Schizosaccharomyces pombe: one gene and its partners. The gene in region 1 interacts genetically with each later gene. Each region holds a gene or a part of one and is shown in the gene's direction. Other genes may lie near its edges.

Region 1 (10,570 bases):
TACTGGTTCGTTACCAACTTTTATTGATCTTGGTTCTAACTTCGCTGGAACAAATATTGATGAGGATAATCTGCTTCTCCAATGGAAATCATTAGATAAACAAATCGTATTGCTAGGTGATGATACTTGGGACGTATTGTTCCATGATTATTTGAATGAGACACTCTCTCAACCTGCTTTTTCTTTCAATGTACCTGATCTTCATGGAGTAGATAATAAGGTTAATCAATATGTATTCGATTATATAAAAGATGCCAACTTTGATGTCCTAATAGCACACTACTTGGGCGTTGACCACGTTGGTCACCGCTTGGGACCTGATCATCCAACAATGCGAGATAAACTGAATCAAATGGACAGGTGTGTGAAAGAAATGATGGATCTACTGGATGATAGTACATTACTCATTGTCATGGGAGATCATGGTATGGACAACAAAGGAAATCACGGTGGTGATTCATTCGATGAAATTAACTCTGTACTGTGGATGTATAGCAAAAAGCCAACCTTTGGCTATTTGAAACAACCAGGTAAAGTACTAAGTGCAAATCAGGTAGATCTAGTTCCTACCTTAAGTTTGCTCTTAGGAAATCCCATTCCGTATGGCAACCTTGGTACCTTAATTCCAGAACCTTTTTACTACTATGGAGATGAATATTTGTCGAAAGCCCAAAAGATTAATATCGGTCAACTCAATCGCTTCTTTAGCGAGTATGATTTAGATGCTTCTGACTTCCTTTCGTCCTCTGTCCATAAAAATAATAACTCTTATTTAGATCAATACTTTTTAGACTTTGACTATGCAAGAGACGCATTCTCTTACTTTAAAGCAATTTGGGCGGAGTTTAGTCTTTTCCCTATGATCATTGGATTTTTACTTCTTATTATAGGTGGATTTAACTTGGCTTTGTTGATGCAAGATAAGTCGGTGATTTTTAGGATGTCTGCCAATATGGCTCCATCAGTCATGAAATGTTTGCCGGTTTGCTTAATTTTAATTTTGGCAAACAACGAACTTCATTCTCCGTTCCCGGCGGAATTCTATGTATTACTTCCTTCATTTTACATCCTGTTAAATTCCTTTAATCAGAAGTTGATGGAGTACTTTAAAGGTTTTGTCAAGTTGGACTACTTTAGTATTTTTATAACTTTTCTACACGTTTGCAGTTTTGGTTCCAACTCTTTTACAGTATGGGAAGATCGCCTTTGTCACTTCTTGATCATCACTATTGGACTAGTTATGTTTTGCAAATGCTTTTCCGAAATGAGCCCCCTTTTTGCATGCTCTACTTACTCTGCATTGGCATTTATCCTTTTACAGGTAATTTCTTCGTACGTAACTAACTGTCGCGAAGAGCAAGGTGCGTTTTGTGTTAGCACGTACATCTCAACTCCTGATAACAGCCTCAGAACCTTGATTGTTTTGGCGTTAATGGCTCTTTCTTCTATTATATTGCCTCTCATTCTGCAACTTCACTTGCGACGCGTTCTTGGCCTTTCTTTAAAACTTTATCATCTTTCAATCCTCTATTTTTTCGAGTTAATATCTTCAATATTTTGGATTGCTCATCATGTTTTCGCGAATGATGCTTTATTAGAAAAGCAGTATCATCATGTTTTATACTCACTTGCAAATACTTACGTAATTTGCATTCTTGGTGTTTTGATATGGCAATTCTTCTTACTGTCGCGATCCAAGTTTGCTAAAATAAATGTCATCGAAAGATCATATTTCGTTTTTGCATTACTATATTCTTTTCTCTCATTTTTGCAAAGGCCCCTGGGACATCTCTCTTTATTTTCTTGCTTTTTACAAATCCTGCTTCTTATTCAACTTAAACAATGGCAGCCAAGTGTTGGTCACAACTTCTTTTCGGTAACGCTAGGTTTATTGGGATTGTCGCATTTTTTTACAACGGGAAATCAGGCTGCTATATCGTCTCTTGATTGGAATTTTGCATTCATTCATTCAAAATCTGCTGAAAACCAGGCTATAAGCGCTATATTCATGTTTTTGCATACGGTCGGTGCGCCGATACTTACTTGCATTTCGATTCCACTATTTTCATTCGAACCACTTTCCAAGAAAAATAGATTCTTGATAAACTTGTTTCGATTCTCCTTTTCTTTCATTCTTTATAACCTATTGATCTCGACGAGTACTGTCTTCTTTGCTGGATTTTTTCGTCGCCATTTGATGGTTTGGAAAGTGTTTGCACCTCGGTTTATGCTAAGTGGAATATTACTTGTTACTCATCAGCTCTTTGTCCTGATCCAATGCTTCGGAAGTTCTGTTGTCAAATTTCCTGAAGATGCTGAATAACAATAAAGCTTCACTGCCCTCGTTCAATTTGACGTATAATTAGAATTGTAGAAATATTTTCTTTTATATCCTTTAACATTTTAAACCTTATAAGGAAATAATCAAAACCACTTATCAATGCATTTTCATCATTATTATTTTCTATGGGTACACCCATACTACTCCTTTACGCCTTCTGATATGTACATTTAACATTCACCACAATCATCGTACCCAATTTTTAACAAAAATTAATTATGTCTGTTAATAAGTTGCTTAATTTATAATCAAAATTTGGTAGCTTGACAAAATGTTCTCTTTGCTACGAAAAGCTATAGATGTTAATCGATCCCGAATTACCTTGCATGGGATTAAAGTGCATAGTATCAATACTTTTCGTTTAATTCCTTATTCTTTATCCTTAACGAAGCAAATTCGATTTTATGCATCAGAAGGGACAGATGCAGGTGAAATGGAAAAGGGTCTTTCAGTAGTAAATGCCAATCACGAAAATCGTCCTTTCAGAGACCTTGAAGGATATCACTTCAACACATTTACATTTTTGAAAACTTTAATGGATAAAGGATATACAGAAAAAGAGGCCGAGGGTCTTCTCGAAGTCACGAATATGTTTGTTACTGATATGCTGCGACATAGTCATCTCAATTACCTGTCTGAAGCTGATTTTGAAAATGTACGTATGATTTATTAAGCTACAGAATCCTTCCGTCTTTAAATTTATCTTTAATTATAGATTGACGGTTTTTTTTGCTTTCAAATGAACTGTCATAGCTAACTTGTATAGTGCTCCTATTTGTTTCGTACAGCTTTGTCGGAGCTTCGCTCAGAGAAAATAAATATGAGAAAAGATCAAATCAGTTCGTTACGTTCAGGCTTGTTTTCAAACCAAAGGGAAGTAGAAAGTTTGGAACAATTGGTTCACGAGCAGTTAAACAAGCTTAATACCGAAAGCAAAATGGAGTTTGAAAATCGGAAAAATGATACAAAGAATGAAGTCCAGCAATTGAGTGCAAGAATTGTTGAACTACACAATTTATTAGCCGTTTCGTTAGGTAAATTGAGGGCTGAAAATGAGAGGCAGAAATGGGACCAAATAAGAAAAGCAGCAGGTAAGTATATTTATAGTTCAAACTAGGTATTTGAAATTTCATTTATTAATTTCCTTTTCTTTTTCAGGTGTGGTGATGGCTTTTACAGGGTTTTTAGTGCTGGTTATTCCATTTGGACTTGGAGTACGAAGCAGAAAAAAAGAAAAACAAGATGAGCTTGATAATTTAGGTTCATTTAATTTAGATAACAAGCGCGATGATTATACTGATACTAATCTCTCCCATATGTGAGTTATGGCCAGCAAAGCATTTCGAGCTCTTCATTAATATCTGTCCTTTCTTTTTTTTTGTGTTTTCTTCTTTGTTTATGAAAATGTTCAATTAGGTTTTATGGAAATATGCAAATATTAAGTTTTATTAGTACTCCTTCTGATCATGAGACCCCTTGTTCTTATTGTACATGGAAATACCATTATGAATAGCATAATAATTGTTTGCATTGCAGATGCTCATACTAGCGTTGAGCTGTGATTTTTGCCTTCTCAGACAAAATTTTTGTCCATTTCAAAACTAAATCTATAAATGACTTTTCGTTGTTTTATTTAATTTTAAAATTAACGATACTCGGAATGGCTATTGCATTCTAGTAGTCTCCTACAATTTAAAACATCTTTGTGTTCGTGGTTGATAAGTAAAGTGGTTAATTATAATGATAATAATAAATATATTATCTATAGACTATTTGATTATTAATTTATTGTAAATCGTGTAAATGTCGACTGCAGATTTCAGTACCTCGCAACTCAATGTATATAGATTTAGCCTAGGGAAATTGGTTTGGCCGCTCCACATATGTCGTTAGCATCATTGCCGCTCGAAAAGTTGACGAAAGTAGCTGATGTAGATAAGAGGGAGACCATATATATTGATTTACTCAATTACGAAAAACAATTGAGGAATCTGAACAAAAATACTCGCGAGGATTCATTACAAACTAATTTAAATCCCCTACTTTCGTTAATCAAAAAATATGGAAATTTTATTGCTTATCCAACTAGAAAACTTCTTTCTAACTGTATAATTGCACTCTTAAAAGGACGTATGTGAGATTTATGGAAAATGGTATATGTTAACAAGTATTAGTCGAGGGTTATCATCAGCATCGAGTTTTACTTTACTTCGTGGATAGCATTCATGAGAAAAAAGACTATATAGAGATTATGTATGTCTAGAATATTTGAAATATCAACTAACCGGTAGTAACGTTTTATCCGTTCTGACTTCTTGCTTGGAAGAATATGGAAATCAGGTATTACTCTTTTGGATATTTTCTATAAACTTATAATTAACCTTAATAGATCAATCAGCAAGAGACTTTTATAAGATTTTTCTTCAAATATTCGAAAACCAATTTGTCATATGGAGTTCGCTCAATCGCATTAGATGGACTGTCGAAATGCATTGAAACATCTATTCAGTCTACGAATGAAGATTTGATAAAAGAAATATGGAAATGTATTAAATCAAATTTAAACACTTCATCAACGAATGTTCTTTTATCTGCACTTCGTTGCGCTTACTACATTCTGGGCTCTTCACGTCTTCGTAATTCAGAATTGGAATGGTTCAAATCTTTTCTATTTAAAAAATCATCAATTGATAATTCTTTGCTCCATTCTTCTTTAGGAAGATGCTTTTCTGCACTTGCAAGTGCTCAAGCTGACAAATCGATTGAAGCCGCTGCAAACGCAGTACCCTCAACTCCAGCGGATGATGAGAACAATGAGGAAGTAGAAAATCGGTCTACTACTCGCCGTTTTGATGAAACTGAGAGTTTTCGTCACGCCCTACGGATTCTTGTCGAAAATTATCACTCCAAGCATGCAAAGTATGAAAGCTCAAAAGCGGTTCTTGTTTTTGCCGTTAAGCATCTTTTTCTAATGCAACGTCCATCCTTTGTTTCTCTCAACTACACTACTATAGTGGATATTATTCTATTACACCAATCACACTCTACTTCAAAAGAATGGTTGTCTTCGTTGGAGCAATATCATTGTACATACTTGTTTCGCGATGTGATTGGAAGGCGATTTCTCGATCAAAGCTCTGAATTGCAGGGAATTGAAATACTTTTAAAGAGAGTGTTAGAGCCTTATTTAAAAGATCAGTCGAAGATTTCGGAAATTGCTGTTAAGACTGCGATGGCTTCCACCGCTGATATATTAAGCCGATCAAAGGGTTCGGCTACTGCTTTATATAGTCAGTTACTAGATACTACACTACAGATTCTATACTTGGGTAAAGATTCATTGAAGAATGAAGTAGCCTGGTTGCTGCGCTGTTTACTATCCGTTATGCCTTCTCCTTTAATGCCCACTTTGCTTGCTCTTTTTAATAGATTAGAGTTGGAATTTAAGCACCTTCGTTCTAAACCTAAGGAAGTAAGTCCCAAATTGAATGTTGGTATTTTCAATAATCTTACTTTGTCGTTGATGTCGATTTATGTTGCCGCCGAAGAAAATCCTCTATATGTTGCTTCTTCTATATTTTCAAAGTTATTTAACTTCTCTTTGGATTTGATTAAGTCATCATCTAAATTGGATTTATTAGCGGCACAAGCACAAATCAAGACTGGTTGGCGACTATTAAGCGCTTACGTTTCTTTTGGTCCTTCTTTTACTAGAATGCAATTGTCCCAATTGCTAATTTTATGGAAGAATGCCCTTTCCAGAGTACCTTCAAAAATACATTCACAAAATTTCATGGAGACAAATGCAGACATGTTTAATCGGTTTGAAGCGTTACAGTGCTTGCTTTCGTTTTTGGAGTATAACAAGATTTTATTCACACCTGATGTTAGGAAGCGAGTCATTATTTTCCTAAATAACTGCCTTAAATTCTACAAAGCTTTTTCGTTAACCAAAAGGCTTGAAATTACCATGCCAATTCCCGCTTCAGATTATTCTCACTTGGAACTTCGCTCTCTCTTGCTTGCTCGGATTTTCCAATGTTTCTTCGAGTTGTCTCAGTTAAGTGGAATGAGTTTAGATGATCAAGAATTACTATCCACGACTGTGTCTACTATAGCCGAACTTTCTTCTTTACAAGGATATGATACTGCGGACGAAATAGTTCAAGCGAAAGCCTTTACTTCTCCAAGAGTTATACCTGGAATTGGTTCACGATTTTACGCTCAGCCAGAGGAAGAATTTCAAACAACCATGGATGATATACTTCCTTGTTATATTTGCGAGTCATCTTCTGATTCCCTGTCAGTGATTTCGAGATCAAACTCTGCAAAACTTCCTTACGTACCCCCGTCTTTAACTTCTTTAATTGATAACGCGATCCAGTTATTTGCGTCTATGTTTTGTCATCAACCTCCGAAGGTTATGGAGAGCACTCTCGAAATTATGGTAGCGTCTGTGACAAACCTCAAGAGTGGGAGAGATATTTTACGTTACAAGGCAGTAACAGCAAATACTTTATTTTCCATTTATGGATTTCTCTCTGCTTTCGATAACAAAAAAGTTACCTTGCCTGACAAGGTTGTATCCCTTATGATAGAATTGCTCGAAAACTTGACTGCTGTTAACGATCCGAAGTTAATTCCTTACATTTCGAAATCTTATGCGTTTTTGGCATATTTATATCAAAGCAAACCGACGTCCGTTTTGGATACAATAATTAAACGTGCTGCAGAGTCGGGAGATCCAAATTGCAGGGCTGTCTTGATTCTAGCCGTTGGCCATATATTAAAAAAGGTTGGTTCCGGAGTTCCCCAAACTACCCTCATCACCGCTTATCAGCTGCTCAAAGTTTTTAATACTGATTCGAATGACCTTGTTAGAGAGTGTTCTATTCGTGCTTCTTCCGTTTCTCTTGGGTCTATCGCAAAGACCATTCCGAGTGTTTTAACTGCCCAGACACGCATTTTATTGAGCTATATGCTATTGCCAGAATGTGATATTGATGTTCAGCTCTTAAAGAAGAGAAACAGTTTATTTTTCCCGTCCACTCTTTTTGCCAATTACTTGGATTGTTTGATAAATGAGCTTGGACCAAACTTGCGATCCGATTCTTCTACTTCGCATTTCGCATTCGATTTAGCTCACCAATTGCTTTTACTTAGTAGAGATACGGGAGATAACATTATACACGTTTACAAATGTTATCAGCACCTATATCTATTTACACCATTAGAAACCAATTCTGATTTCTTCATTAGGGAGCTTTGTGGTAACATAATTGACCTAAAGCAACCTAAACGTAGGGAAATTTCTATTGAAGTTTTATACCAAATATTGCTTCAAAACCATGAGTTCTCGGAATCATGTTATAAGCGACATTTTGATAGGCTTATTTGGCAATCACTCGACACCACTCCTGACAACAAGCTTTTGAAGAACATACTGTATATCTGGCTAAACGATTACAAAGATTCGGACATACACTCATGGGTAAATATTTTACTTTTTCTTGTCGGCATAAAAAATACTTCGAGTTCTGAAAGATCCAACGAACAAGATATACAAAACAACCTAGATGAAGATACCGTATCTTTGGCTTATGGAACTTCCGAAAACGCAAGTAATCCATTATTCCAGAAGAATTACCGTTGGCAGACGCAGTTTTATGCAGCTACATGCCTTAAAACATGTATCTCTGAAGTGATGGCCGAAAATAAAGAGCCCGCAAAATACTTGATTTCTAGGATATCTGACCTAGTCCGTGCTGCTTTTGTTTTGTCTACTTCAGACAACTTTTACTTGAAGCAGGGGGGTTTTGAACTTTTGGATACTATCATAACGGTAAGGATAATCTAAAGGAAACTCGCTAACAATTTTTTAGGACTTTTCGAATGTTATGGATCCTGACTTTGACGATGTTTCTCTTTTGGACCAATTTCAAGCTCAAATCAGCTCTGCTTTTAGTTCCGCGTTTGTAGATGATTCATCTCCTGAAATAGTAGCCATGTCTCTTAATATAGCTTCCAATTTTATTGGAACTGGACTTCTAAAAACCGAATCGCAAGCAGCTAAAATCCTCAATTTATTGAAAGAAGCGTTGGAATCTAGTTTACCAGAGAGGGCTGGATTTGAGGAAAATCGTCACTTTAAGTATGACTCGAAATATTTTCTTCGTATTGCTACTTTATCAGCTTGGGCTTCTTTGCTGGTACATTCAGCGAATGTGTCATATTTGAAAGAATTTCTTTCCTCTAACATCCGAAGGCTATCTTCGCATTGGATTATGGCTTTAAGAGGATATTCCAGATTGCAATTTGGTCCTAGTTTAGTAAAAGATTTTGTAGCTGATACCTCTTTCACTCGGGTCCAAAGTATAAACCCTAAAATACTTCTCAATATTTATGAGAAATCTTGGCTGAACATCGCAGAGTCATTAACAATATTACTTTCTACTGATGCAAATCTGATTTATGGAATATTAAGTGGAGATGAGCTGTCGCTTTCTGAGGAGGACGTATTCTTCCAAGACAACATAAATTATGCTTCCAACAGGTACTCTTTTAACTTTTTTTTGTTTAGTGTCTGCTTCCAATCTCTCTTAATTCCAAGCACTTTGCAAGGCTTTAGAAATCCAGTTTTCAGAATTATGCGAATTATGACTGAAGTTTTAACTGAAGAATTATGTACCAAGGTTCTTTATGACCATAATGTGTTCCCCGAAGTTGTTGATCTTTTAGTTCGTTTGATTTTGACGGAGGATTGGGAAACGAAGGCTAGTATTGTCATTTTTGTGAAAAAGTTAGCTCTTGCTAACCCGGCACACAATGACTTGAAGTTTTGTGAAACAGATTCTGTAACATCTATGGAGCCTACTGTATCAGAAAGCGTCGAAATGCTTTTTCAATTGGTCAAAATATTGACATTAGCTTTAACGGTTAGAGTGCCGGGCCTACGTTCTGATCCAGCTGAATCAGCTACCAATAAAAAAGCTAGTGAATTTGTTATTTTGTGTTTTAATGCATTTCTTGATGTTTCCAACATTTTCCCCGCTATTGTGCGTGTTGATTTATTTGCGACAGCAATGCATGTTTATGAAGGTAAGTCCTAAAAATAAACGAATAATTTCATGCTAACTGTCTAGTCATTATGGACGATCAACAACTATTAAAAAATTCTAAGCAAGAGTTGTTAGCTGCTCTTAGAAAGTTGTTGAGTACAATGGTTGAGCAAAATGATCACACATGTACAACTTTGATATACACTCTTTTTGAACACCTCCTTAACATCTACAAAGAAACGATGTAAGTTTTGATTGCCACCTGTACTATTACTAACCTTAAAAAAGTAATGATAGTGATAAAAAGGAGAAAAACGAAACTGCTTTTATGAGCATGGTCCTTGTACTTACTCTTGCAGCTCCTATATTAGACAGTGAGCAGCTTGTGGTACACGATTTTTTGGAAGAACTATTCTCTTCCTTGAAGAGCTCAGAAGAGGTTTGTTAGGAATTTTGGAAGGTTTACATTAACATATAGGACTTTGCTTTAAGAACTCGTTGTGTAACATCGCTGATGTTAGTTAACAGTAAACACCCAAGCATGAGCGCTCTTTGCCGTTTCATTATTTACAAATCGGTTACGATGCTACAGAACGGTGAAGTTCTGAAAAGTGGTGATTATGTCACGGAGTTTATACCTGCATTGCTTGATATGCATGTCCATATTCCGGAGGAGAAGAGTAAGTGTATTATTTAATATTATTTTATTCTAACTTTTAGAAAAATCATTTTTAAGCATGTCTATTCCGATAGCTGCACATTTTAGTATCCTCGTCGAGCACGCTGACGCACGAAAAAGAATCGGTGAAAAACTGCTGAAGATTATGGCTATTCAGCCAGATGAGGCCAAAGCAATCATTCAACAACTTTCTCCTAGGCAAAAAAAATGCGTTGAAGAGATCTTAATACAAAATGTTGAGTAATGTTTATACTGCGAATTTTCTTATATTTTTATACCTTTACTATTAATTATAAATAAATAAACACTTTTTTGATGCCCTTGCCTAAAAGAAAATAATATCGCAACCTTAAAGAATGACTGGATTTAAATGTGATACTAGAAACCTAACAGATTTTCCCTCCTTTTCTCTTTCTTAAACATAATACAGATAAATGCCAAACCCAGATGCTTTTTACAAACCGATTATTGAGACTTTGAAGACTGTGTTTT
Region 2 (13,009 bases), on another chromosome or scaffold:
ATAAACGGCTTTTACAAACTAAATTTGATAGACAGCCCCCCATTAACGATGTTGTTATATTGATAAAGCTAAGATTTGCAAGATTTATCTTTAAAGTTATTTTAAAAAGATATCCTTCAAATTTATGATATTATTAAAAATATCATAAATATCTTTAAGAGCCAGCGTTATTATACTATTGCTTCAAACTGTAATGATATTGTTGTTATAGCACAACGCTATCATATAACAGCATTCCAAAGCCGTAACAACAGTACATTTAATCGCGGTTTTTGGGTGAAGTTAAGACCTAAGATATAGGAATACATTTTTATTAATAATATGGGACTACCCCCTAAAACTATTGTTTTAGACAATGGGGCATACCATATAAAAGCTGGATTTGCAGGTGGAAAAGTTGTGTAAGAAGAAGTGCATCACGTCAATAAATTTCATGTATCTTTTACTTTTTTCAGCTAACGATAGTTTTTAGTGAAATTCCGAATTGTTTGACGAGATCAAAAGATGGAAACAGATTATTTTTGGGGAATGAATTGGCCAACTGTAACGACTTTACAACTTTACAATTTCGCAGGGCGCATGAAAAGGTACAGCATTTATGAGGGAGTATTATTTACGAACAAAATAAATACAAAGATTATGTTTACTAATACTAGTAGGGGTATTTGGTCCATTGGAGCACAGAAACAGCCGTATGGGACTTGGTAATGCGCAATGTAGGTGTGATGGAACCTAGCATGGCAGACTATTCTTTACTGCTTACACAGCCCGTATTTACAATGCCTTCCATAGAACACAATACTATACAACTCGTGTTTGAGGAATTCCAATTCGATGCTTACCTCCCTTGCACCCCAGCTGAGCTAATTCCTTGGGATCATGGAAGTTTCACAATGAATCAAGAAGATGCGTATACTGGTCAACATGGAGAATGCGTTTTGGTAATTGACTCTGGATATAGCTTTACACACATAATTCCTGTGATTGATTTCTCTGTTCAAGAACAAGCGGTAAAGCGAGTTGATGTGGGAGGGAAATTACTTACGAATTATTTAAAAGAAGTCATCTCATACCGGAAGTACAATATGATGGAAGAAACATACATTGTTAATGAAATTAAAGAGTCCGTTTGTTATGTGTCTCAAAACTTCAAGGAGGACATGGAGATATGTCACGAAAAACCACGGTCAAAATTGGAAATTTGTTATGCTTTGCCCGATTACAGCACTGGAAAACATGGATATATTGTTAGAGATATTAATCAAAAAATAGAGCAACAAGTTTTGAATCTTTCAAATGAGAGATTCATGATACCAGAATTATTATTTTCCCCATCTGATATCGAAATACGTGAGGCTGGGATTCCAGAGGCGGTCATGCAAAGTGTCACCCACTTTCCTGAAAATATACAGGCAATGTTGCTTGAAAATGTTGTTACAATAGGAGGAAACTGTAAATTTCCCGGATTTCATAAAAGACTATCATCTGAATTACGGTCGCTGGCACCAGCTAATTGGGAAGTTAAAGTTTTTGAACCTTCAGATCCTATTTGCTTTCCATGGAAAAAGGCATCTCATATGCCGTTGGAGCACTGGAATGCGAATAAAATAACTCGTTCTGAGTACTCAGAACATGGAGCAAACATAATGACACGAAAAAGGAGAATATAATAGATCACCATTTTAAAACTCAATAATGTGGGTTAAATTTCTATCTTCACAAAATTCTCAAGGCGAGCTGATAATTCGCATCTTAAGAAATTGGTTTATTACATTAAGGCTACAGCAATATAAAACGAAAAATATGCATGCATTAAGAATAAAATCTTTTTATATTAATTAACGAATCATTCTATCTCTTGATCAACCACTAAAACAACAGCTAAATAACTATATCTTTATTATTGTCGCCAGGATAATTCATACCTAAAAAGCGTTAGCGAAATGAAAGATATTATAAAAAAGATAGGAATGAAAATCAGTATACAAGTATAAAAATTTAACCACATAGTTGTGTCTTCAAGACTAATCGATTTGTAAAGCATCATATGTAACATTCTATCTCTTCAAGTGTTTATACTTACATATTATTAATGTGCCTGAAAAACAAGATTGAAAAAAAAGAAAAATTTCAGCACTTCTTCACTACTGTTTCAAGTGCATTTTATATGTACAGTGCAGTTTCAGGTTGACAGTATAAGAGTTAAAGCAACCTTGAGTTAGAGCAGTCACGGTATACTACTTTAATTAGAATGTAGCGCGTTGCGTTGCAATGTAGTCGTGTCGCGTCTGTTTACATTTTGGATAGAAAGAGCTTTTCGTGAAATTTTGTTGCTTCTGTTGGATAAATTGTTCTTTTTCTCAAGTTAATCATATAATTCAGTAAAGGAAAACTGTGTAATAAGAAGAATCGAGATCCCAAATTATTTCTGTTGAGCCTTGTTCATGGGCTACATATATTTTCCCTCACATTTTCAACAGTAAAGCCTTAAATATAAAAGTAAAAGTTGATTAAATGATATAAATTTACTTTAATAATATAAATATGTACAGATATTTTATATTTTCTTCATAGATGTTACCCAATTGAATCGTTACTTTAAGCTGTAAAAGTTGGCCAAATTGCAGTAATCTCGAGTTGACCACCACCAAACACTAATATTGTCTTTTGCGAAAGTAAACAAAGAGAATTAATCCCAAGCTAGGCTCTCATTAAGAGGAAAAATCAAATACACTAATTTAGTAAGGTGGCTGTACCACATGAACCTAGGAAGATGTCCTCTAGCTCCTCGATCTGCGAATATAGTACTCCCGAAACATGATGCCGTATCCAAACAAAAGGAATATCGAATTGAGGAAAAGACAAACGAAGCACAAAGGGAGGAAATTATAACTTGGAAAGACAACAGGGAAGATGAAGGAGAAGTGAAAACCGATTTTGAGGTTGTTAATAACGAAAATATTATCACAACCACCCCTAAACATCAAACTGTTATTACCCCTAAATCATATCGCAAGTCCGTAAAACGGATTAAACATGATGCTCCTCAAAATGAGGATATTCCTGTCATGAAGGGGCTGGCCCCCATTAATGCTGATACTGAGTCGAAGGCGGAATCCATGGCAGCTGGGAAAGTTTTGGGATCTAAGAATTCCTCTCAAAAGGCTCGGTTACAGGAATGGAAAAGACAGTACAAGAAGGCATTTCCTCATTTCCGTTTTTATTTGGATGGATGCGACCCAAGTGTTGCTCATCGAGTGAAAAAACAAATTCAGCAATTGGGTGGACATGTTGAGACGTTCTTCTCAGGAAATGTTACTCATGTTGCAACAGTTCGGGCTATCCAAGATGTTTCGGTTAAGTATGCTAAACAGGATGTAATCACTAAGGCTAGGCAACTGAACATGAAGATTTGGTCTATGGAAAAGCTTTGCAACCGCGTGTTAAAAACTTTAATGGAGAATGATCAATGCACAACCAACGCACCCACCAAACAGGGGAATGACTTGAGTTATTTGCTTTACGTAGAAAAGGTGCAAGGAACGAACGAACGCGATTTATCTGTTCCTAGACAGGACTTTGTGCATTTTCGTGGACCCTACCTTTACGTGCATGACATAGCTAACATTTACAAACCTATACTCTTACGTGAATGGCAAAAACCGCTTCCCGACAGGGACGTTCCTTGGCCGACCTTTCGTGCTACTAGTATTGGCCGGTGTCCATTTGTACCTGAAACAAAGTATCGTCTCAGTACTTCCAAGTCCTTGGTTGCTAAAAATGACCAGCAATTATTGCAACGACAGAGTCAAGAACCATCGCTGATTCTTCGTGCGAATTCGATGAAAGCTTCCTTGCCTGATATATCCAACACCGGGATCTCTGGAATGAACACAAATACCACTTATAACACCAATATCAACAACACCCCTCAAACTGCCATTTCTGGAATTACCCAAGATACATCCCCTTCTATAAGGACAAATTGTCATCACTGTTTGGATGACGGTATGCAAGCATCGGGTATAGTACAGTCAAACTTGACTTCTGCTGCAATGTCCAATAATTCTGCTATTCGCTCCGGTAGTGCTGCTAGTGTTCCGGTGGTAACAATTAATGGGAGAGATATCGCAGAGTTGAAAAAGCGTATTATTCAGCAAAAGTCTGGCATGATTGGCAAGGACTACTCTTATAAAGCGATGCTTCACAACACGAGTCAACGGAAAATTCGTGTAGATGCGAAACCTGGCTATTGTGAAAATTGTCGGGAGAAATTTGATAATTTTGAATCTCATATCCGCAGCAGTAGGCATCGAAGGTTTGCCGAGAATAACGATAATTTTAAAGACCTTGATGAACTGTTTGCCCTTGTTCAACGTCCCTTAAGGCCAGATTGAGAAAATAGCCCGTGTCTTCAAATTTTGGCACATTCACTTTTCACTAATATACGATCGTGCATGCGTATTGTGTACACCTCCTTATGCAGTTTCTCGGGATTTAATTACATCTATGTATGTGCTATTTACCTTTCTTTTTTTATCTTCCTCTTCATTTTACATGTATACTTCTAATAGTTGTTATATCAAAAAGTTTCACGGTTTATTTTCTGATTTACCAGTATCCCAAGTTATCTATTGAACAAAGTGTTATTCATTAATAGTTTATTGGGGAAGTTAGTCATCGTTGCTTATGAATTACTACCTGGCTGAGCAAAATGATTCTTGCTTAATAAAGGACATTTTATAACGTTTTAGATTTTTTAGAACCGGTTACTTGTCTGACAACTCGTCTACTTTCACTCTTAATAGCGAGAAAAAAATCTTATCAATTGTATATTTAAATAACATATCATAAATGAATTACAATCAGTTAATTTAAATTTGCTTTTTAATCGATTAATTAACAAATTCAGGCGTACGTGCAAGGATACGTCTGAGATTTTTTTTTTTTAAATTTCGGATTACTCATAATATATCATGAGTTCTCATTTATTTTTCTGACTGTAGAAATAAATAGCATTTTTTATTTTATAGACATATTTTCTTAATTGCTGAAAGTATAAAATCAGCGTTTTACTGTACCCGGCTCTCCGCCCTGTATATGCGTTTAAAGCGTGTTAACGATGTGTGCTAGTTTTCGTCGTCTGCGCGTGCGAAATCACAGGTAATCTTACCATAAATTAACCTGCCCTAAACAGACACCAGTAGTCAACGCTACTTCGCTTTCTTTGTTTGCGATTTACTCTATTTTGTTACTGTAGCGTCAACTTTTTACGCAGGCTATTTACTGTACTTAGTAGTAACCTAAACACTTTAAATTTGGTGAACGAACGACGTTGTATAAAAAAGTAAATAAAACGAGGTTGAGTTAAGCGGGGAAGAACGTTTGGAAGCTTATATATTTTTGTTTTCTCACGTAAAAATCTTTATTGTATACACTTTCGGGACCTTGCCTAATGGAACATCTCTCTAATCTTGAGCAACCAACAACGATGGACTCATATGATTTTCAGAAACTGACTAACGATGAAAACTTGCAAGGAACTGAATCTCAGGTTCCTTCTGGTAGCAAAAGTGCCAGCACAAATGGACTATTAAGCGCTGCTTCATCTGCTGCTGGTTCCTCGTTTGGATTGACTCCTTCTGCTATATTACAGCAAAAGCATGAAAATGCTCAGCAAGGAAAGAAGCAAAACAATTCGAAATCATTTTCCAAAAAACCTGCCATTGACGTCCATTCTGAGGATGCATTTCCTACACTTCTTTCTAAAACTGGTCCCAGCAAGCCAAGGATTGTTTCGTGGGTCAGAAAGACAGCTTCCAATACTAGCGTTGCTGGTTCTGATTCAGTTTCCAGAGACAAGATTCCGTTCTCTGCTAGCTCTCGTGCATCTTCTACAAAATCAACTCTTTCTTCGGTAAAAGAAACTGATTTTGTTACGGAAACTTTGATTTTAAGCCCTGATAATCAAGCTCCTCGTATGTCTTTCGTGGGAAAGCCTAATTCTGTTGCTGAAATTGTTCGTACTGTCATGCATCAGACCTCTACACGTATTAATGTTTCTACTGCATCAAAAACTAAGAATACCACGTTTTTAATTCAAGGAAAGACTTCTGCTGTCAAAGCGGCTAGACGCCAAATTTTGAAATTGATTGGTCGTCGTGAAACGAAAACTATGCCCTGTCCTGTTTTTGTTGTTGGGGCTATAATTGGTACTAATGGACAAAACTTAAAGTCTATTATGGATCGCACTTCAACACGCATTCAAATTCCCAAGCGTAACAACACCGCAAACGAGTCCTCTGATGATGCCAAGAAACCTGAAAAGGAGGAAAATTCAGCTGCTTCTACCCTCGACGATTTGGAACCCCAATATGAAATGACTACGATTACTATTGAGGGCGATTTCGAAGGTGTTGAACTTGCCCAAAAGGATATTGAAGCTATCATCAACGAAAGAACCAGTAACACTACTGTTCGTATCAGTCACATTTCTACTGAGTTATACAGTCTTCTTAGGGGCCCAGACGGTAAAAATATTAAAGAGCTTGAAGAGGGTAGGGATTTGAAGGTTCAAATTCCTTTTGCATATTTAGATCCTTCTGCCCCTGTCAATCCCATTGTTTTGTCTGGTGAAAAATCAGCTGTACGCGAATGTGCTTTGTATCTTCAAGGTCAAGCTGAGGAACTTCTTCGTACTACCATCCCCACAATGCTACCTATTCCTCGTCGTCAACACCGTTTCATTAACGGAGAGAAGGGGGTTGGTATCCAGGATATTTTGAGAAAATCCGGATGTTCCGTCATTTTGCCTCCTATTAATGGCGATTCTGATGTCGTTAGTGTCCGTGGCCCTGCCTTAAACATCAGTGAAGGTATCCGTTTAACTCTTGAACGTGCAAACTCTACTATTGTTGACGCTGTAAATATCACAACAGCATATGCATCCTCTAAAAACCCCTTTGATATTGCTAGCATAGTAGCTCGTTTGTTCCTTCGTTCGAGGAAATTGATTCCATTAGAAGAAGAATGTGCCGTACAATATCACTTACCAAAGCGTGAGGAGCTTCAGTCAAATTCCAATAAAACAGTCATAATTGAGATTTCTGGTAAATCACAGGAAGCTGTCCGTGAGGGACGTGCTAAACTTCTCGCCCTTGTTAATCAATTTCCGGAGAGCAAGTTTTACAAGGTAACAATTGATCCGCTTCTTCAAAGATATGTTATTGGTTCCAAGGGTAAGAATCTCCAGAAGCTCAGAAATGAGCATCAGGTAGAGCTTTTGGTGGGAGAATACGGTGAAGAAGATCCTGATGTCATTGTCTGTTATATTGGAGCTGATGATGGAAAGTCGCCTGACCAAATTCAGAAAGAACTCGCTGATTTGGCCGAGTCAGTTAAGTCATCAGCTGAAGCATCTGCTAAAATTGTGTCTGAAATAATCCAGGTTCCCTCCGTGTACCACAAGCATATTGTTGGTCCCAAAGGCACTACGCTGAACGCTATAATTGGTAAATCTGAAGAAAATGTAATCGTCCAACTTGGTAAAGTGTCGTATCGTCCGGATTCTACGGACGATGATGTCTATATCCGTGGTTTTTCCAAAGATGTCGAACGCGTTGTTAGTGAAATTAAACAAGTTGTTCGTGATGCCAAGAACCACGAAATCCTTCATTCTCATGTCGAAGAGTTCGATTTCCCTGCTCAATACTCTAAGAACGTTATTGGCAAGAACGGTAGTAATGTTTCTTCTCTGCGTGAAGACCTTGGTGTACAAATCAACGTAGAAGAGGGCCATATTCGAATCCAAGGTATAAAGAAAAACGTTGAAGAAACAGCTGCACGTATTAAGTCCCAAATTGAAGCACTTATTGATGACACTATTTTACGAGTTAACATTCCCAATGACTTTCACCGTCAATTAATCGGTTCTAATGGGAAATACGTTCGTCGTTTGGAGGAAAAATTCTCGGTTCGCGTTCGTTTTCCACGTGAAGACGATTCTTCCAATTCTACCGGTAATGAGCTGATGAAACCGACCTCTCCTGACGAAGTTGTTATTCGTGGTGGTAAAAAATCTGTAGCTGCAGCCAAGCAAGAGCTCTTGGAGCTTTACGAGTATGAAAAATCGATTGCTTATACTTCGACGATTGACATCCCTTCAAAGGCGGTTTCACGGGTCGTTGGTCGTAACGGTTCTACTGTGGAAAACATCAGAACTCAATTTGATGTTAAAATAGACATAGGTGACGTTTCAACTGAAGAAACTACACCCGTATCGGTACGTGGTGCTAAGGCTGATGTCGAAAATGCCATTAAAGAGATTTCAGCCATTGCAGAGGAAGTCAAGAATCTTGTCGAGAAAGTTATAAAAATTGATCGTGAGTATCATCGCTACTTAATTGGACCCAACGGAAGCAAACTGCAAAATACCATCAAAGAGTGCGGTGGATCAACTGATAAAACCGAGACTGCTCGTCTGATTAGTTTCTCCAATGGAAATTCCGAAGAGGAGAGGAATTCTGTTGTATTGAGAGGCGACAAGGAAATCGTTGAAGCCCTTGAGACCCGATTATTGGAGATAGTTGAAGAGCTGAAGAACCAAGTCGAAGAGAAGATTGAAGTCCCGCAGAGATGTATAAGCTCAATCATTGGAAGAATGGGCTCCACTCGTCGTGACATCGAAAGGAAAACGTCTACCATGCTCAACATCCCGAATGTTCTTGACCCTGAAGAGACTGTCACTATTACAATCGTCGGAAGTCCGGAGAATTGTGAAAAAGCCAAGGAAATGATTCAAGAGAAGGTTGCCAGTCAATATACCCAGATGATTACAGTTCCCGATACGGTCTATGAAAGTATAATGAAAGGTATTTTAATGAAAAAGCTTCGATCCGATCTCAAAGTGTTTGTTGATACCCCCGAGATCAAGCCTGTACAACCCACGGAGGTTGTTCTTGAAGACCACGAGGATGGCGTTTTCCCTTGGAAACTGGTAACTCACGACTACACTGGTTCTTCTTCATCTGAGTGGGCTGTTCGAGGACATAAGGAAAATGTTGAAAAGGCTATCGCTTCATTGGAAAAATCTATCAAGCAAGTTATGGAAAATTGTATTGCTTACTTGGGTATCCCAACGAACTTGCACCGTCGTATAATCGGTTCTGGTGGCTCTATTATTAATAAGATCCGAAAGATCGCCCAAGTTAAAATTGATGTTCCTCGTACTCCAGGCGATGAAATTGTAGTAGTCCAAGGAAGTCGAGCTGGCGTTGTCAAGGCTAAAGATCTGATTTTCGAGAGACTTCAAGAAAACCAAAATCAAGAGTAAGGTAAAATTTTGGAGCCTTTATTTAGTACTTACATTCATTTCTCAAATTTTTTTGAGAGTGTATTTGAAAATTATGTGTACGAAATATCATTTTGTCGCTCTTTTATTACTACATGTCATTTTTTAAGGAGACGGAAATTGCTTGAATCGAGCATTTTCCTTATTGATTCCTTCTTTGCTTTGTTACATTGCCTTTGTTTAATATTACAAATATAGACGCATAGGAAAAAGGCGTACCTAGTGCATTTATTCAATCTTTTCAGATATAAACATTGGAATGTATAGATAATTCAAGAAACTAGAATAGTTGAAATCTATGATTTTTTATGAGAAAATAAGCATTGTACGACAGATAGGACACAACAAGTTTTAGTAAAAGAATATTATAAATTTACAAACAACGAGCTAAAATTTAACCATTTCTCAAAAGAAGAACCATATTAGGACGTTTTTTTTTTCCAAATAGCGTAAATAAGTTAAAAAAACCCAGAAAACCCCAAAATAAAGAACACCGGAAGTAAGGAGAAATATGAGACGAAAGAATGTGGAGTATGAAGTATATAATGAAAGAAACAAAAGGCCTCGTACAATAAATAGACTATTGAAGAAGCGCATCGCGGAAATGCTTTTTTGTGTTATTCTTAATACCCATCTTGTTAGCAAATTCCTCTCTTCTTCTTTGGTCTTGGAATGATTTGATATGAGAGGCACTATAATTCTTACGGCCATCGCGAACACCAGCTATACTTGTTTCAACAGCTTGTCTATAAGCTCGGGCATTACCACTCATCGCACGTCTGGCGACGTTCTGATGAATAGAAGCACCATCTCCTACAGCGGTAGAACTAGAGTGAAGATTTTGGCGGAAGTAGCGAGATAACGAACGATGGCCCACACGATTACCAGAGGGTAAATGAAGTTCATATTCGTCAGCAATGGGTACACGACCCATTTCAAGACTATCTAAGCTGGAGTTATCTGAATCATCAGAAACATCTTCCCAGTCTCCTTCACCAGAGCTTCCATCTTCTTCTACGACAGTTTCGTCTTGCTTTACTGCATAGTCAGGATACGATGTAGTAAAATCATAAAAATCAGAGAGTTCAAGCTGTTCATCTTCTGTATCATAGGCAATAGAGGTATGCCCCTTTTGCTGCATATGGGCACGAACAGCTTCTAGTGATTTAAATTCACGATTGCAGGTAAGGCAAGTAAAGCCGATAGAAATTTTCTCTGCTAAATAATCGAATAGACTTGGTTCATCTACCAAATATTCCCGCTCAGGAATGTACAAGCTATGAGAAGCCTTCATATGCTTCTTGCATGTATCAAATGAAGAAAAAGAGGCTGCGCAAAACAGGCAATCTCTTGGTGAAAGACGTTGACTACTTCGACGAGCAAGTTCAGCTTCAATTTCTTCAGGAGTTGGTTCTTGTGTAAATAGATGAGACTTGGAAGCTTCGTTCGATTGAGGTATGGAAGTAGCCAATTCAGTTTTAGAGGGTTCACTTTCTCGACCATGAAGAGATAAGTTGGAAAGGGATATCGCCCTTGATGTCAGTTGTGAAGCTAAATCTTCTTCTTCCTCAATTTCGCTATCAACTACAGGTTCACCCATTGACAAGGTTGAAGAAGCAATACTACTTGCATCTTCACTTTGAAGTTTCTTAATACGGCTGTTTCTTTGAAATTTGCTCAAGTTATCGCGATGCTTCTTCGAAGCCATATGTGATGAATAGGCGCCTTCTGAATAAAACTTTTTATTACATACTTCACAGTTTTGATAAAATTCTGCTTTTTTCTGGACTTCCTCGTTCTGCTTTTGAATGGACAAAATCTTTCCAGCAAACACCTCAGCACTCAACGGCGGCAAGCTAGCAACCTTTCTCTTCAGATTATAATGATGCCAGTCAGACTTCCAATGTATTTTCTGTGATTCTGCATTATTGAAAGCCACAGTACAAGTCGTGCAAGCAAAAGAAGTCGACATTTCGGTATTCTGTCAAGTAATTCAATTCTTAGCCAGTACACTTTTTTATCGAAAAAAAAATTGATATTGAAGCCGAGTCTTTCCTCAAATATATTCTTTGACTCAAACTAACTTAATGAGATGAAGTCAACCCTTTTTTACAATACCTTGCACAAAAAGGTGTTGGTTGAATCCAACTTGCCTACGATCAACTATTGCCTACATAACTTGTAGCACCACCAAATTATTTTAAAGTGTCAAATAATTATCAATTTTATTGAAATCAAATAAAATTAATTGATATGTTAAACATCTTAATGTCTTGTTTTTTTAAACTTAATTTATGCATCCCTCAAAAACATTTTCTATTGCTTAGTAACATAAGGCGTACCTTTTGATTAACCAGTAAGTCCTAAGAAAACTCATATATAGACAAAGGGCTGGAAAGAAAGAAATGGCATGCATTGTAGTTTTAGCGAGCACACGAGCTCCCACTCTTCAGGGTTTAATTAAAATTGAGTATTTGAAATTGAGGTATTTTTGAGTTAGTTTCGTTGGAATAATCATATAGGAAATACATAATAGAGTTTAATGTCTTTTCCTTTTGTTTAATAAGTTTCCTTGCCTCAATAAGAAAGTTAGCACATGTGCTTTCTTATCTCTTTTCCCTCGGGGTTTAATTAGTGTTAAAATTTCGTTTTATGATAAATGGTCAGCTGTTTCTTTTAAACCTTTCACTAAATGACTCAGTGTTCCAGGATCTCTAGCACGATTGGGATACCAATCCTCAAACAGATTATTCCATAATTCCTTCTCCTCAGTATCTTCGGGTGAAAAAAAGTAAGAAGGGTTTCCAGATGATTTCTCTTTAAATTTCATTGACCATGCTTTAAAAGTTTCAATTTGTTCCATGATTTCTTCTTCATTCATCAATTTCAAGTCATCGTCACTAAAATTTATATCCCAATTATTTGCCTTTGATCCAAGAAACAATGTAAGCATCGTAATTGTAATCTGCTTATAGTTAGCATTTTACTCCACTAAATGTGATTGAAATCAACAGTCATAAAAGATAGATAGACAGCAACATTAGAGACTTACGAAAACTTTGCTTAAAAAGGAGTTTCCATTTTTTTGCTTCGCAACCTTAGCTGCTTTTAAAAATATATTTGTAAAAATACAGTTTCTATCTCTCATATCAGAAAGCAGAAGAAGAAATAAAACTTTCAAAGAAGAATAACAGACGATAGGACCGACTTCAAGACTACAAATTTCGCATAATTTTTCTGACAGTTTAATGTTCCAATCATTGACGTCTCGCAGACAGACCATTTCCTTTGCAAAGCATCCAAACTTATTTAAAGCTAAAACCAAGTTTTGCGTTTCACTTGTAAAGTTAGCAATCTAATAACAAAAAGAAAAATCCTTACTCATTGCCATTCAACTGATTTTTTTTGTTTATTTTTTTTCTTTGAATGTATGCATTGAGTTGCTCGTGTAAACTTTCTGCTAAATCATTATATACATTGTCAATGGCAAATAATATATCTTCCTGTACAACTTTGTTGACCGCCAATCGGTGGAAGAATCTGCTGCACAAAATCATCAGGAAGTTAACGGTAGTTGAATTAAATATATCCAGTATTTCTTTATACAACTTTGAAAAGTCCTTATGAAATTCTCTCTTATAAAGAAGCTCGTCAGGAATT
Region 3 (9,957 bases), 2.2 Mb from region 1:
ATATAACAGGTTGCGAAATATGTAAGATGAAGCAATATAGATATTCTAAAATACGTAATTATCCAGCAAGATTTACCGACAGAATACTATTATTGTTCAAGATTTGCTAAAATATAGTATTAGTAAAAACTGTTTAAATACGATCATCAGTATCCATATCGATGCCAGCATAAGGCGTCCGGAAATCCTGTTGTCTATTACTGAAACTTTCACTTTCGCCAACAGCTTCGTCAACAGAAATGCGCTCATCGTCCATCTTCTTTAAAGATGTTTCTTTCATTGTAACGTCCTCATGAGTAGTTTTCTCATTTTTACCGTCCTCCGAATAAGATCTACTAGTAGCCATCTCTAAGGTGGCATTGTCCATAGCTTTGCGGTCGTCAGGATCTTCCCAAAATCTGCGGTTACCCTTAAAGAGGCGACGTACCCATTGAGGCAATAAACCCCCCTCGACACGCCATGTCCAAGCTTCTTTTTGATTATAGTCAGCCGGTACAAGTCTACCGCGTGACATTTTGTCAATAGCATAAATAATGGAGTTTAGTAGAGCGTAGCAAATAATACCGGCAATCAAGCCATACGCAATCGAGTAGGTAAATGGCATCAAAGCAATTGTAATAAAAGCAGGAATGGAGTCACCAAGGTAACTCCAGTTAATCAATGTAGTACTCTTCATCATCATACTGCCGACAAGTACTAATGTAGAACCGGTAGCCCAGACTGGAATACTTGAAAAAATAGGAGCAAAGAAAAGAGAAATGAAAAAGCAAATGCCTACAACCATACCTAAAATCCCTGTTCTACCGCCAGCCGAAATACCAGACCCGGATTCAATAAAAGCAGTAACAGGTGAGCAACCAAAAAGTGACCCAATAGAAATACTTAAAGCATCGACGATGTAAGCAACTGCGGATCCTTCAAAGTCTTGAGTACGAGGATCGACCAAACCAGCATAGTTAGCCATTGAGTAAAGTGTACCAGTCATATCCATAATGTCAACGTACAGAAAAGTAATCAGTGCAATGGCAAATTGACCGCCTGTAACGTTCCACTGTTGGGCAACAAGAATACGGTTAATTTTTCGAAAGCTAACAACCTTTTTGAAAAAATCAAAATTATAATCCCCTGTAAGCGTGTGGGGAAACATAGTTACTAATGAGCGTCTAGGCCAACTTGTGATAGTGACAAGTGCGATTCCAGCAAGGACAGCACCTTTAAATTTGTACATCATTAAAATAGCAGTGAGAACACCGCCACAGAATATACCTACCCACATTCTTCCTGATTGTAATTGATGACCGTTGCAGCTATAATCAGCGTTTAGGTATTCTGGAGGGCATCCTCCTAAAGCGACAATATCAGATGAGGAATGCCCAATGACTCCTAACCCAGCACTTGGACTGAGTCCGATAATTGTGAGATACAAACCAATACCAGCACCAGTAGCAAATTTCAAAGAGGCAGGAATAACTCGCGCCAGCCATTGGCGTAGACCTATAACAGTTAAACCAGTAAAGATGAATCCTTCAACAAAAACAGCTAAAAGAGCTTCTCGATAGGAAACACGTCCAGTGCCATTATATCCGACAACTTGGTACGCAAAATAAGCATTTAAACCCATACCAGGGGCCATACCCACGGGCATATTGGCAAAAAGACCCATGCAGAAAGAAGCGAGAGCAGAAATGGCAGCGGTGGCTGTGACGAGATCACGATGAAAGTCTTCTTTGCAAAGTACATAGTCATCAAGTTTGTCACAATCATCACGATTAGCTTCAGTACATTCGCAAGTGCCGCCCGTATCTACGAGAATGGTAGCATTGACAGCCAAAATGTAAGCCATTGCAAAAAAGGTAGTAAGACCAGCACTAATTTCGAGAGAAAAGCGACTGCCTTTACGCTCCCGAGGATGACCACATCCCTCTAGACGAAACCAACGTCCGAATGCCGAACGAGCGACGATCACGTCGAACTCTTCGACCCAATTCCTTACTTTTTGTGTGATGCTCATCTTCTCGATAAACTAAGGAAAAAAAGAAAAGAGGATTGAAATATTAAAACAATAAAAACGAGAATACTTATAATATATGTATATATATTACACTAGGTATCCAAATAACCTGCCGAGGATAAATAAAACACAACAAATCAACGGAAAGATCCGTGTTAATGCTAAGCAAAAAGCCCTTTTCACAAAAATAGATTACTTATTAAAGATACAAATATTAGAGAAATCCCAAAACCCACAAGGAAAGAAACCGATTTTGCTTCCAAACCTCAAAAACAGTAAAAGCAATTTAAAAAACTTTTGATGAAATTGTAAACAAAGATCGAGATAAAAGCAATCTAATCTTTAAAGTTGTTTGATCAAAGCCGTTTTCTAAAATCCAGAACCTTTTCGACCTACCACTAATCTAAAAATTTTCTGCTAAGCGATGAATCTCGATCTCAACGTGAAGATTGAAAAAACTTTATAATCCTTATCAACTGGATGCAAACCTACACCTAATTAAGTACAACAGTGAGTTTTCAGTCCAGGACCTCTTTATTACTGCAAAGAAATAGAAATTGGTGTTTAGAAAAAAGTTTGTAAAAAATGCAAAGTGTCGCTGATGGACCCAAGGACTGTTAAATACTAGTCAAATTTGGGCGCTTATATTTAACAGCCAATAGCTGTGCTATCAGATACTGCGTCAATTTCGCTACTTCAAAAAATGAGATAAACTCAAAATTCCACTGCCAATAACCTACTCCAAAGATATAAAAAATTCTTAAAAGTAACAATGATAACATTAGTAGTATTCTTCACAAATAATCGACATGCGAAAATTGCAAGAATACAAATGTATTCTGAAAAATAAAATGAAATTAAGCAGCCAAAAAAGAAAGAAAAAATGAAGATTACTAAAACTATTTTTGAATTCTGTCTTTGCTAAAGTTATTGCTTCTCTTTCTACTACTTGCATTAGTAACAGGGGGGTTTCATGTAGATAACCCTCACATACTCTCTCACGTTGACGCTGAATGCTAGGAGCAAAAAAATTAATTAAACCCGTTTTAACGACTTTAACTTGAGCACACCACAGGACTTTGTAAGGATATTGTAAATTGGTCCGAGCCATGTTTAAGATATCACCTATACAAACATATTTATATCACATTTGTTCGTTTTTGCAATCGCTTATCAAAATTCATGCAATTATAAGATAATTAAAGTAAACGAAATCATTAAGGTAAGTGATTATAGATTTAATACTTGTGCTCGTTCGTTTGGTGAGTTTTCTCTGACGGTACAGATACAAGATTATTTTGACTTGAATACCCCCATTATTGAACCTTCATAGTAAAAAGAAAAACACATGTGGGGGACATATGCTGGTAGGTGCAGCTAATACTAAAAGTTAAAGTGGGGAAAAAGACCTTACTGGGGGTACATAAGTTTATATGCTATAGAAGGTTAGCAAATGATTTTAACTGTGGTATGAAATTAAAGTGGGATAAAAAGACTTCAGTGGGGGATTCAAGAATTCATTTAGGGAAATCCTTGAAGTATGAAAATTTGAAACGATATAGATACAAGTAAACTACGCATAATTCACAAGGCGGTATTCGAAAAATGAAATTCTTAAAAGACTATCAAGCGTTATTTTATTATATTATTATTTACTACTTTTTTTTTTGTACTAACAGCTTTACTATATCTTTTTCTTAATGCAGCTACCAGGATATTTGTACTGCAAAGCACCCGACTGTAATGTTCACTCTTAATACATTCATTAGTAGTTTTTCCAAATCCATATGTTTTTAGCCGGCTAAGGTATAATGTACTTTAAAAATCGCTGCTGATCTAGTCAAAAGTTTAATGGAAATCATCCACTGTATTACGAAACATATAGTATTTTTAACTGTGTCGCACTAATTAAACAAAGGTTGTAGCAGCTTTTAGGCAGCTGGGATGGATTTTTCAACCAAGATAACAAAACCGTCAATTATTAGACAGGAATCCAAAATTATTGATTCCTTTTTATTATTGCATTTTCAATTCCAAAACATGCAAAACAGAAGAGATGTCAATGGCATCCCGGTAAATAAAAGAGTCCTTTTTTTAGAGGGGATGGGGACCGGCATTTTACCAATTTGGTACAAATCAGTCAATCTAACTATTAAATGGATTTGCAAGTTAATTCATTGGATCCTATGAGTTTAAGGTATGCTACTCCTAGTGTGAATGGTATTCTATGTTGATTGTTTATAGCTTTTCTTTCTACGCATGCACATCTGTTATGAAAGCACAATCATATAAAATTACACGGAATCATTGTTTAGCAATAGCACGCTGACAATTTCACAGGTCGCTTCAGTGCTATTTTCTATTTACAAGCCGTGGTAGTTTAATTATCGACATTATGTTATTTTTTGTTGAAAATAGCAATATCAAGTGTCCTTCGTAGTCGCTTCATAAAAAGTCAATTCTCTTTGTACCGAAAATTAAAACCCATTCAATTGCTGTCTTTCGCTGAAATTGTTAAATTACTAACGACCTAGACGGATTCCAAACAAAAAACGGAAAACAAATTTTTTTTTTTTTGTCAAACGATTTTTTTTACTATCTGTGTTCAGCGGAATGTACAACTTTAACCCTTCCGATAGTTTAAAAAAATCCCAGTATCAAAGGGAGTAAAAAGTAACAAAAAGCTTCCGTTGAATGCTACGACTTGTAGCCACATTTTTTAGTCCCTAACAATTATAGCGAGATATATTTGCTTCCCGCTCTAATATAGTGTAGTGTAGTTTAGATCCGCTACATCACATGTTACCAGCAAAAAAAAAACATCAGATTTTGCCTACAATGAGATGATACGATTTGTAAAAAAATCTCGTGTTTTCAAGAACACCAGCAAAATATATATATCGCAGTTTTAACCTGCATTCCGCAGTTCAAAAACATCCAATTCCTCTACTTTTCAAAAAGTCTTTCACAACTTTAGGGTCAAGCAATCTAGCTTAATCTTTAATCCCTTCTTGTAATAGTTTCAATTGCAAATTATTGTAGGCACTTAGTTTTTGGTTGTTAAAATAACAAGGTCTTGTTATTGCCGAATACAATACGTCTCAATTTTTTGACATCTTTTAGTGTTCAAACTTGAAAACTTGCAAGTTTCTAATTTATCTGTAATTCCATTTGTGTCTAAAAACACCGACGGTTATTACTTTTGTTCTCGCCTTCCCTTCTCCCTTGAGACAGATCGATATAATTTATCAATTTAATTTTGTTGGTCCATACTGATCAATTTCGGATTTTTTCGTTGGCGAAAGTTCCGTTTCTTAAAAATTAACTACATCTCGCTGCTTAAATCGGTAAATCGACAAAGACAGCCGCGCAAAGCTTGTACCTTAAACTTTGCTTTGCATTATATAAATTGTCACCATCGCAAACTAGCTCACCGAACCTCCGCCACAATCGTTGTGTTTGATAGTTTGTTTTTCCCAAAGACAAATTATTGAAAATCGAACAAATAAAGAGGTTTGTTTCGTTTAAATATCCTTTTTATTACTTGTTGTTTTAAAAGGTTCCTTATTGGTTTCATCGTTTTTCAATTGTTTGTATAAATCACATTTCTTGCCGTTTGTGATTTGTATATATTGTACCAACTGTTTTCTTTCTTCAGTCTAGACACATAGATATATATTCGCATATATATAACTAATCAGCTTCTCTCTTTTCTTACACTTTCACTTAACTTTTTGCTATATTTTCGAATTTGAATTTTTCTTGCCACTATGGTTACCACCGTTGAAATGTTAACTACCTGGAACCCAGTGACCGTTTCCTTGGTTTCTCCTGTCATCATTTACTGGGTTGCTTCTGCTTTCTTCGGATTTTTGCATTACATTGAATTACCTGTCTTTGAGAAGTATCGCATTCATCCTCCGGAGGAGATAGCCAGACGCAACCGTGTTCCTCAGATGGCTGTTGTTAAAGCCGTGCTTTTCCAACAACTTTGCGAAGTCGTCGTTGGAATCGCATTGGCCATGTTCGAGGGCTATCCTGAACCCATTGACGAGGCTAAGCAAATGTTACGCTACGAGGCTTTCTTCAGCAAGAATTTGCCTGCTTTGTTACAAGTTGCTCCCTTTGCCCCTAAATTGGCTTATAACTTTATTGTTCCCGCATTCCAATACTTCTTTGCTTTCTTCATCATTGACAGCTGGCAATACTTCTGGCACCGTTACCTCCACTACAACAAGAAGCTCTACAACATGATTCATGCCCATCACCATCGTCTCCAAGTTCCCTATGCTATGGGTGCCCTTTACAACCATCCCTTTGAAGGTTTGATTTTGGACACTTTTGGCGCTGGTGTTGCTTATCTCGCCGCCGGTCTTTCTCCTCAACAAGCTGTTATTTTCTTCACCCTTTCTACCTTGAAGACTGTTGATGATCACTGTGGATACGTATTCCCTTATGACCCTCTTCAAATGTTCTTTGCCAATAATGCTCGTTACCATGACCTTCATCACCAACCTTACGGTTTCCAAAAGAACTTTAGCCAGCCCTTCTTTACCTTCTGGGACCACGTTTTGGGAACTTACATGCCTCCCAAGTCTGAAACTCCTTACGAGAAAAAGCAAAAGGCTAAGAATGCAAAGAAGGTTAACTAGAAATTACAAAAGTACATGTGCTCTGTGATATTTGCATTTTTTGAATCTTTCTTATCCTTAGTACTTCTGCTGAATCCAATATACTGTTTTTTTTATATTGAGTTATAAATGTTTACTATTAATTTTTTCTCATTCTTTCTAGTTTCTTTGTTTGCTATTTTCATTTTTTTTGAAATTTTATTAATCTAATTGTTCTTCCTTTTAAATTTGTCGGTAGTACAAATCGATTGGCAATCCTTACTGTTGAAGTTATCCCTCCTATGACTCTAGGTATTTGTGATAACCGTAACCTTGTATTTTTATGTTATTTTCCACTTCTAAAGTCTCTTTAAAACGGGATGTTTGACACGGACTGCTGAAGAACACGATACTTACCTAAAGATGCATGTTTTTGTGTATCTTTACCAAAGTTGGTTGGTCAACGAATTTAAATCGTTTGTCGCTCATTATTGAATTTTCGACTTAGTATTGATTGTTTTAGTCTACATACAGTATATAATTTATTAATTGATAGCATTTATTATTTACAGACTTCCGAGGATATGGTATCGTAGACGCGTTTTATCAAATATTATAAAATTAATAACTTACTGTAAACACGGGTTAATATTTGCTTCGATTGTAACATATTATAACAAAAGTCAATTTATTTGCATTGCATTGCATAGGCCCCGAAAGCAAATTATGCAAGTTATACTTAAGGAACGACTAATGTAAAAAGGACTTTATGATAATTACAGTATTGAATGATAAAAAATTTGTGCAAAAGTTGTGAAGTAAAAAACACGTGCCTGGTGGTGACAGACGTGACGCGTCTTGACATACGCGCTTTCATTTGTCTCGTCCACTACCACCGTAAATTTGATTTTTATTAGTATAGCGCTTTCATTTCTGTACCTCCTTGTCAACAGCCGTTTCCTCGACATTGACAAATTTCTTCAACCGGTATCCCAATTAATACAATCAACAAAGGGATACTTCCAACTCTTATGTGCTTGGACCGCTTATCATAGGTGTTAGGTCGAGGTCGCATAAGTCAGTAGCAGATTGTTGTTTAAATTCAAACTGAAATTGTTTTCTTGTTGCTTTTCTTCGATCAAACAATTTTGGGTGATCTATTTCGTTTACGGTTTCTTTTTTTAGACAACCTGCGTACAGATCGCCTTCCAGTTTCTTGAAGTAATTCGATGAATGTTTTCGTGCCAATCTCTTTATAAATTTAGTCACTCTTTTAGGAAACGTATCCCCGTCATGTTTCAAAGAGCTCAGCAGAAAAGCAGCTTGCTTCATACACAAAACGAGTCATCGCATCAACCCTCCTTGAACAAATTGGGCGGTTTTTCGTCCGCTTCTTTAAACTTCAATTCCTCTCGCTCCTCTACTAATGATGATCAGCAAACATTTTCTAGCCAGTCTGATAACCTTCCGTCATCTCCAATAACCCTACCAGCCAAAAGAGGTCGTTCTGCTGCTAGCTTAAAACAACTTGATAACACCGTGGGATTCGATGTTTCGAAACCCTCACTGCCCGTTTTTGAAAATTCTGGCTTGGGTAGTAAATACTCCACTGAAATAGCGAATGGCGTCTATATTGATGAAAATGACTTTGATGATGATCTACTTTTAGAAAACGATATTGACCAAAAACCAATTCCTTGGTCTTCATCCCCTATCGAGCATACTAAGTTAACTAAATCAATGCTCTCGAGCGAAAAGCGGTCAAAAAATCATCTCTCAAAAATTTACGAAGACCATACTTCTGAAAAAGGCGCAAGTAGCGTAATATCTAGTAATATTACGAGGCAGGGAATAAAACGCTCACGAACCCTTCCTTGGGCAGTGGATCCTTACAGATATGGAGATCCTGATCCTAAAAGAACCAGCACTTCAGCTGATATCAGTCAACACACTGTATCTAATGATTCTTCAAATAAGCTTAGCAATGGACGAAGCAGTTCTTTGGATAGTCTGGCTAAAAAACGCATGAGTAAATCTAAGTCTACCCCACAGATATCTAAAAAATTTTCTGTTCCTTTAAACTCTGCTTCCAAATCGCCAATAGGATCTTCTTTGTTTAAGACAAGTGATTCTCGTAAAAAATCTGTCCCTAGCATATTCCTTTCCGATGAGCAAAAAAGAATTTTAGACATGGTTGTTGAGCAACAACACAGTATATTTTTTACGGGCTCTGCTGGAACAGGTAAATCTGTTCTCCTCCGAAAAATAATTGAAGTCCTAAAATCTAAATATAGAAAGCAATCTGACAGAGTTGCTGTTACCGCTTCTACAGGCTTGGCAGCCTGTAATATCGGCGGTGTAACACTTCACTCCTTTGCTGGGGTAGGCCTTGCTCGTGAATCTGTCGACCTCCTGGTATCTAAAATAAAGAAAAATAAGAAGTGTGTTAATCGTTGGTTGCGCACCAGAGTTTTGATCATTGATGAAGGTAAACAATTTAAGTGAGTTTATATTTACTAATAACTATAGTTTCTATGGTCGATGCTGAATTAATGGACAAGTTAGAAGAGGTTGCGCGTGTTATTCGCAAAGATAGTAAGCCATTTGGTGGAATTCAGTTGGTTTTAACTGGGGATTTTTTTCAGTTACCTCCTGTTCCAGAAAATGGGAAAGAATCGAAATTCTGTTTCGAATCTCAGACATGGAAAAGCGCACTTGATTTTACAATAGGATTGACTCACGTTTTTCGGCAAAAGGATGAGGAATTTGTCAAAATGCTTAATGAATTGCGCCTCGGGAAATTATCTGATGAATCGGTTAGAAAATTCAAAGTTCTTAATAGAACGATTGAATATGAAGATGGGCTTCTTCCGACAGAGTTATTTCCCACACGTTATGAGGTTGAGCGTTCGAACGATATGCGTATGCAACAAATTAATCAAAATCCTGTCACGTTTACCGCTATTGACTCGGGTACTGTTCGAGATAAAGAATTTCGTGACCGATTACTGCAAGGGTGCATGGCTCCTGCCACTTTAGTGTTAAAGGTAAATGCTCAGGTAATGCTTATAAAGAATATAGATGATCAGTTAGTAAATGGATCTCTTGGAAAAGTTATAGGTTTCATAGATGATGAGACCTATCAAATGGAAAAAAAGGATGCTGAAATGCAGGGAAGAAATGCTTTTGAATATGATAGTTTAGACATTTCACCCTTTGATCTTCCAGACGTTAAGCAAAAGAAATATAAATTGATTGCAATGCGTAAAGCTTCATCCACGGCAATAAAATGGCCATTAGTTCGTTTTAAACTTCCAAATGGAGGTGAACGTACAA

What was found.
Region 2: of sip1 (region 1) and vgl1, a mutation in one rescues a mutant of the other (synthetic rescue), as found in Schizosaccharomyces pombe (one large-scale study listed by BioGRID).
Region 3: of sip1 (region 1) and sur2, a mutation in one rescues a mutant of the other (synthetic rescue), as found in Schizosaccharomyces pombe (one large-scale study listed by BioGRID).

What each region holds. Positions count from the first base shown.
Region 1 is NC_003423.3:1,331,500-1,342,069, forward strand, and holds the start of sip1 (Pof6-interacting protein Sip1 AP-1 accessory protein), read left to right. Parts: upstream 1-4,211; 5' UTR 4,212-4,224; coding exon 4,225-4,471; intron 4,472-4,515; coding exon 4,516-4,594; intron 4,595-4,632; coding exon 4,633-4,681; intron 4,682-4,730; coding exon 4,731-8,183; intron 8,184-8,223; coding exon 8,224-9,439; intron 9,440-9,483; coding exon 9,484-9,643; intron 9,644-9,687; coding exon 9,688-9,838; intron 9,839-9,877; coding exon 9,878-10,079; intron 10,080-10,102; exon of another isoform or gene 10,103-10,119; coding exon 10,120-10,322; 3' UTR 10,323-10,543; coding exon of another isoform or gene 10,544-10,570. Other genes in the region: gpi13 (pig-O family ethanolamine phosphate transferase), read left to right, coding at 1-2,323; SPOM_SPBC27B12.07 (uncharacterized protein), read left to right, coding at 2,613-2,996, 3,108-3,432, 3,500-3,663; flx1 (FAD transporter), read right to left, coding at 10,544-10,570.
Region 2 is NC_003421.2:1,211,687-1,224,695, forward strand, and holds vgl1 (vigilin), read left to right. Parts: upstream 1-5,186; 5' UTR 5,187-5,455; coding exon 5,456-9,331; 3' UTR 9,332-9,763; downstream 9,764-13,009. Other genes in the region: Swr1 actin-like protein Arp6, read left to right, coding at 322-401, 473-587, 660-1,670; Hsk1-Dfp1 kinase complex regulatory subunit Dfp1, read left to right, coding at 2,760-4,397; rei1 (ribosome biogenesis protein), read right to left, coding at 9,930-11,321; meiotic cohesin complex STAG protein Rec11, read right to left, coding at 12,000-12,314, 12,402-12,687, 12,731-13,009. UniProt on the Schizosaccharomyces pombe protein: Required for cell survival under thermal stress.
Region 3 is NC_003423.3:3,568,086-3,578,042, reverse strand, and holds sur2 (sphingosine hydroxylase/sphingolipid delta-4 desaturase Sur2), read left to right. Parts: upstream 1-5,446; 5' UTR 5,447-5,781; coding exon 5,782-6,663; 3' UTR 6,664-7,194; downstream 7,195-9,957. Other genes in the region: SPOM_SPBC887.17 (transmembrane transporter), read right to left, coding at 134-2,011; SPOM_SPBC887.16 (uncharacterized protein), read right to left, coding at 2,793-3,122; pfh1 (DNA repair and recombination protein), read left to right, coding at 7,855-9,109, 9,151-9,957. UniProt on the Schizosaccharomyces pombe protein: Required for hydroxylation of C-4 in the sphingoid moiety of ceramide. Involved in the response to syringomycin.